Saccharomyces cerevisiae S288C: one gene and its partner. Changing the gene in region 1 together with any one later gene gives a genetic interaction. Each region holds a gene or a part of one and is shown on either strand. Other genes may lie near its edges.

What was found.
Region 2: of HUG1 (region 1) and RNR2, a mutation in one rescues a mutant of the other (synthetic rescue), as found in Saccharomyces cerevisiae (one study listed by BioGRID).

What each region holds. Positions count from the first base shown.
Region 1 is NC_001145.3:156,531-159,466, forward strand, and holds HUG1 (Hug1p), read left to right. Parts: upstream 1-2,229; coding exon 2,230-2,436; downstream 2,437-2,936. Other genes in the region: NTE1 (lysophospholipase), read right to left, coding at 1-1,728; ribonucleotide reductase inhibiting protein SML1, read left to right, coding at 2,853-2,936. UniProt on the Saccharomyces cerevisiae protein: Involved in the MEC1-mediated checkpoint response to DNA damage and replication arrest.
Region 2 is NC_001142.9:390,123-394,103, forward strand, and holds RNR2 (ribonucleotide-diphosphate reductase subunit RNR2), read left to right. Parts: upstream 1-2,281; coding exon 2,282-3,481; downstream 3,482-3,981. Other genes in the region: VPS53 (Vps53p), read right to left, coding at 1-731; YJL028W (uncharacterized protein), read left to right, coding at 1,189-1,524; YJL027C (uncharacterized protein), read right to left, coding at 1,711-2,127; RRN7 (Rrn7p), read left to right, coding at 3,845-3,981. UniProt on the Saccharomyces cerevisiae protein: Provides the precursors necessary for DNA synthesis. Catalyzes the biosynthesis of deoxyribonucleotides from the corresponding ribonucleotides. RNR2 provides the diiron-tyrosyl radical center.

The DNA of each region.
Region 1 (2,936 bases):
CAGTAAATCACCAGGATTAAATTGGTCTCTTGAACCCAGTACGACATGTCTCGAACTTGGATGGTGGGTGAATTCTGGTTTCAGTGAAAGGGAATTCGAACTTGTGTTAGCGTTGGCGTTAGCAATCTTAAGCGATTGAATGATACCATCAGATGGCTTCGCTTTGGGCGGTTTCTTCAATTTAGAGGAAGCATTACTATTTTTGGGTTTCGGTTCTAAATCAGCCGATCCGCTCGACTTATCTACAGTTTTAAACTTACGAATAACGGCCTCTTTCAAATAATAAGGCAATTCATAAACGATGGATTTATTTAGTAAAACTTCGATATCCATGATCTCCTTTGTTAAACCTAAGTAGTCGTGAGCAGTTTGGAACGTAACATGGTATAGCTTGGTGAGAACCATCTGTATGATATGGGAAGCAGACCGTGGGTATTTTGCGGTTAATTTGGCAAACGATTGAGGTGGGATAATACCAATTGTGCAGTCTGTAGCCGCACGGGCGACAAGTTTAGGCATTGAAGAGGGGAACGTTGGAAAGCTGTTGGTGGAGTTTGTCATGGAATCTGTGTTGGAGAAGTTCTGCTCTGATGAGCAGAACATATTGTTGACCGACACCGTTGTGTCTATAGGTGACGATAACTCAGAGGGAAAGTTACTGTTGCCATACGAGGACATGGAATGCGTGAATAAGTTTAAAATGCTCACGAGGGAGGTCAGCGGGTTTCCTGGCTTGACTGTATTTAGCAGTTGAAAATTTCCCAGTCCATTTTTCAGATGAATGTAACCAACGGATTCATCTTCTTCATCGATGAGGTTAGAAGAACAAGATTTGGTGTCGTAGTTATCAATGTCATCATCTTCTTCTTCGTCTTCTTCATCTCTATCCTGGTCGTCAAGACCATCCGTGTCACTGTGGTCAGTTTCATCGCCATGGTCCTTATCTGAATGATCTACTTCATGATATAACTGCAGGGTGCCTTCAACGACGATGGCAAACCCAATAGTACTGTCCAACAGTAAAATCTCACCCTCATCCATTTTTTGAGTTTTCATATTCTTGGTCAGGTCATGGAAGACTGGTTTTTCCAGATAGCCAAAGATTTTGATGGCGCTGAGAAATTGGTCAAGGTAAGATGAAAGAAAGGTTTCGTTTTCGTTGCCATCTTTCAATGAATGCTTTTTTGAGTCTATAATCGAGCTTGCACCCGTGGTAGAGGAACCTATGGCGGGTGGCGCGTTGGCTGACTGAGTGGAAGCTGCATTGATATTGGCGCTGGAGCCAGATTTACCTGTATTTTCCAGCGGCAAGAACTCCGGGGTCAGCCTCTTGTACTGGGATAGAATTCTCTCCTTCATGATGGTGTAAGTCACAAAGACTATGACGGCTAGGGCAAACAGGATCAGCCAAAAGGAAAGAGTGAACTGAACATGGTGTAACTTGAAGAAGATCCACTTCGGAATCCTTAAAAGCGATAAAGTTGCCAGATACCAACCGTACCTGAAGATCATACGAGAGGCACCCATAACAAAGTAGGACACAACCCACGAGAAGTTGAAGAGGGATGAAAGTGACCACGTCTGCGCCTCAGAAATAATCTGGTCGGTGAGACATGTCTGGAATCTATAAGAAGTATAATTACTGGAATTAAAGCTGGAGCCAAGACTGTTTTTCGTGTTTTGGCCGGTATTGTTGGTGTTGTTCGTAGTGCAATTCATTGAACGCATGCAAAAACTAGAGCCAAGCCTTTCTATTCTTTTCTTGTTTATTTTATATTCGTTAGAGTTTTGTGGTGTTTCTTTAACTTAATAAACTTTCGAGAAAAGTGTCAAGTTTCCCAGATTTTTAAGATCCTTATAACCTGTAAAAAAAAAAAAAAAAAAAAAAAAGAAGGGTTTAAATAAAAATCGGACTTACTCAAAGGGTTGAAAAGCACTTTAATATAGGTTTTTAGTTTCGGGTAAGAAGATGTGTCAAAGGTCTCGAAAAGGAAACATTAGGGCAAATACGTAAAGGTTGCCTTCGTATCTCGTTTCCACAGCAACGAGAAACGAGATACGAAGGCAACTGATTCCCAGCATATAAAAGGCCATGAATTTTTGGCGTTTCCTATTGTCTTTTCGAAACTATTTCTTTCATTCCTTTCCTTTCTTGTTCTTTTACTTATAAGAAAAATAATATACGTATATATATAACTACAAACCACATCAGCAATAAAAAAAAACTATATGACCATGGACCAAGGCCTTAACCCAAAGCAATTCTTCCTTGACGATGTCGTCCTACAAGACACTTTGTGCTCAATGAGCAACCGTGTCAACAAGAGTGTCAAGACCGGCTACTTATTCCCCAAGGATCACGTTCCTTCTGCCAACATCATTGCCGTCGAACGTCGCGGCGGTCTTTCTGACATTGGTAAGAATACTTCCAACTAAGAGCATGCTTCTCTTTTTTTTTGTAGGCCAATGATAGGAAAGAACAATAGATTATAAATACGTCAGAATATAGTAGATATGTTTTTATGTTTAGACCTCGTACATAGGAATAATTGACGTTTTTTTTTGGCCAACATTTGAAATTTTTTTTTGTTACCTCGCGCTGAGCCCAAACGGGCTCCACTACCCGCCGCGGTCGCCATTTTGGGAAGTCATCCGTCCCAAAAAGGAAATAGCCATAACATATCGTTACTGTTTTGGAACATCGCCCGTTTCGCCCGATTCCGCCTCAGCGGGTATAAAAAGAGATCTTTTTTTTTCCTGGCTGTCCCTTCCCATTTTTAAATGTCTTATCTGCTCCTTTGTGATCTTACGGTCTCACTAACCTCTCTTCAACTGCTCAATAATTTCCCGCTATGCAAAATTCCCAAGACTACTTTTACGCTCAAAATCGCTGCCAACAACAACAAGCCCCTTCCACATTGCGTACCGTGACCATG
Region 2 (3,981 bases), on another chromosome or scaffold:
GATCCGGCTTCATCGTCGACCCTAAATATCTCTTTCATTTCGAAGAGAAGTTTGTCCAAACACCAATCTATCATCTGGGCTCTCGTACTTGTATCGCAGTCGAGTAGCTCGCAGGCACCTTCGCGCAATTCCATAGTGAGTGCTGTATCATGCTCTGAGATATTGCCGCCGGAAAAGAGCGCATTGTAGTTTTGTTTAATTTTGGACAAAGTGTCTCCTTTCAGTCTTGAAATGGAGCTCAACAAATAGTTTATCTCGTCCAATGATTTGTAAGAGATGAATGTGTTTTCAGCAAGCGAACACATTATCTTATAAGGGGACACCATTTTTTTGAATGAGCCCTGTGAGAGTAATTCATTGCATTGTATGTAACTGTCTGTCAATATCTTTAAATTTTGGAAAAGAGTCAAAGAGTGGGTGAGGTTTTTCTTGGCAATGTCCAGGTACGAGATACCTTCTGTCAGATTCGATATCGTCAACTCGGTGGAGGCTGAGACATCTTGAGTTTCTTTGAAATCTTGGAAAACTTTCCTCAGAGAAGCCTCTATTTCAGCGGAATTTTTAGGGTGTTCCTTCAATTCATTCTCTTCTTTGAGAATATCCTCTTGCAATTGCTTTTTGTAGCTTCTGGTAATACTGATCAGTTCATCTATGTTGTTCAGGGATTCTTTTGAAAAAAGTATATTGGTAATATCTTCCAGCGGGTCATAATCTACCGTACCTTCCAGCATTGTCCTTCTGAGAAAACAAAAATGGAAGATGTTGTGAAAATGCAGTAAGTGACAATAAGCTAGCGACTTTTCAATGATCGCAGATTAAGTATATATACACTTTAGGTCTCCTTCTCTTCTTTACTAGCTACGAAAAAACAAAGAAAAAAAAAACAAAATAGAGGGAAAAAAGATATACGTATAAAAATATGCTCCAGGGGAGGTTCGAACTCTCGACCTTCAGATTATGAGACTGACGCTCTTCCTACTGAGCTACTGAAGCACTATTTCTTGTTCCAACCGAGGAATAATACTAGACCTGTAGAAAAGTACCGCTTATCTAATATCCAACTTTTTCTTCTGTTCCCTTTAGTGAATTCAAGATGAAGGAACATAACAGAACGGAAAACAAAAAAAAAGGGAAGAAAAAAGATATCACCACCAATTGGCACGCTCGCAACGGTTTCGGGCCAGATTCATGGCCCTGTGGGGTAGAAGTGCCTACAGACAAAAAACCGTTACGTCCCGCCTCACCAAGCATCGACACACAAGCCCTCTCAACCTCCTTAATTTCTTTATCTTTTTTTCCCTTCACCTCTGTGCTCTTTTTTTAGCCACAGCTGTGCATTACGCTTGCTTTGCTTGTTTTGTTCTCTTTCGCCATGCCATATTACTACTTTTCTACTTACTGGCACGAGGCCGCGCAAGCCAGATCCAAGCACGCCAGAAAGTGCGGTGTACTGGTGCAACCTTTTATCGATTTCTCATCATATCGCTATCGCAACGGGCATGGGCGACGAAAAAGCCAATCTAAAGCGTTGTCTTCCTCGTTCCTCGCGCACGCGATTTTGCGTTCTGCATAGGAAGCCGAAGTCGAACAAGAAGCAGGCAAAGTTTAGAGCACTGCCCCTCCGCACTCAAAAAAGAAAAAACTAGGAGGAAAATAAAATTCTCAACCACACAAACACATAAACACATACAAATACAAATACAAGCTTATTTACTTGACATCGCGCGATCTTCCACTATTCAGCGCCGTCCGCCCTCTCTCGTGTTTTTTGTTTACGCGACAACTATGCGAAATCCGGAGCAACGGGCAACCGTTTGGGGAAAGACCACACCCACGCGCGATCGCCATGGCAACGAGGTCGCACACGCCCCACACCCAGACCTCCCTGCGAGCGGGCATGGGTACAATGTCCCCGTTGCCACAGAGACCACTTCGTAGCACAGCGCAGAGCGTAGCGTGTTGTTGCTGCTGACAAAAGAAAATTTTTCTTAGCAAAGCAAAGGAGGGGAAGCACGGGCAGATAGCACCGTACCATACCCTTGGAAACTCGAAATGAACGAAGCAGGAAATGAGAGAATGAGAGTTTTGTAGGTATATATAGCGGTAGTGTTTGCGCGTTACCATCATCTTCTGGATCTATCTATTGTTCTTTTCCTCATCACTTTCCCCTTTTTCGCTCTTCTTCTTGTCTTTTATTTCTTTCTTTTTTTTAATTGTTCCCTCGATTGGCTATCTACCAAAGAATCCAAACTTAATACACGTATTTATTTGTCCAATTACCATGCCTAAAGAGACCCCTTCCAAAGCTGCTGCCGATGCATTGTCCGACTTGGAAATCAAAGATTCCAAGTCCAACCTTAACAAGGAATTGGAGACATTGAGAGAGGAAAACAGAGTAAAGTCAGACATGCTTAAGGAGAAATTGAGCAAGGACGCTGAAAATCACAAGGCTTACTTGAAATCTCATCAAGTTCACCGTCACAAACTTAAGGAAATGGAAAAGGAGGAACCTTTGTTGAATGAAGACAAGGAGAGAACTGTTCTTTTCCCTATCAAGTACCATGAAATCTGGCAAGCCTACAAGCGTGCCGAAGCTTCTTTCTGGACCGCTGAAGAAATTGATTTGTCTAAGGATATCCATGACTGGAACAACAGAATGAACGAAAACGAGAGATTTTTCATTTCCAGAGTTCTTGCCTTTTTCGCCGCTTCTGACGGTATTGTTAATGAAAACTTGGTTGAAAACTTCTCCACCGAAGTCCAAATTCCAGAGGCAAAGAGTTTCTACGGTTTCCAAATCATGATTGAAAATATTCACTCTGAAACTTACTCCTTGTTGATCGATACTTACATCAAGGACCCTAAAGAAAGTGAATTCTTGTTCAATGCCATTCACACCATCCCAGAAATCGGTGAGAAGGCCGAATGGGCTTTAAGATGGATTCAAGACGCTGACGCCTTGTTTGGTGAAAGACTAGTTGCCTTTGCCTCCATTGAAGGTGTCTTTTTCTCCGGTTCCTTTGCCTCCATTTTCTGGTTGAAAAAGAGAGGTATGATGCCCGGTTTAACCTTTTCCAACGAATTGATCTGTAGAGACGAAGGTTTGCACACCGACTTTGCATGCTTGTTGTTCGCCCATTTGAAGAACAAACCAGACCCAGCCATTGTTGAAAAAATTGTCACCGAGGCTGTGGAAATTGAACAAAGATACTTCTTGGACGCCTTACCAGTTGCTTTGCTAGGTATGAACGCTGACTTAATGAACCAATACGTTGAGTTCGTCGCCGACAGACTGTTGGTTGCTTTCGGTAACAAGAAATACTACAAGGTCGAAAACCCCTTCGATTTCATGGAAAACATCTCCTTGGCCGGTAAGACCAACTTCTTCGAAAAGAGAGTTTCTGACTACCAAAAGGCTGGTGTTATGTCCAAGTCGACTAAGCAAGAAGCCGGTGCTTTCACCTTCAACGAAGACTTTTAAGAGTATCTCTCTATATATTTCTTTTTACGCAGTCTCTTCAATCTCTTTATGTGGGCTTTCGCACCTCTTATTTATATATATATATATACACTGAATCATATAAACTTTTTTTTATATTGAATCTAATATATTATCAAACGGAAACTTCGGCTGAATTTCATACGTATATTGATTAAAGTGGAAAGGGCATCGGAAAAGTAAGAAAAGCTTAAAAAAATTGAAAAAAAAAAAAAAAAAAATAAAAAATAAAAAATAAAAAAACCTATACAATACATACATATGTATATGAATATAAACCTGGAACGATGTGTCTTTAAAAATAGTTGAACGAACTACTCGGACATACCCCTACATCACTTAAGGATGTCTACTTTCATAAGAGGTCCCATCTGCGGTACAGACAACTGCCCCTCACGGCTTTGGCGTATCATTGATGGGAGAAGAACCTGCCAATATGGTCACGTTATGGAAGGTGACGTGGAATTTAACGACGATGAAGA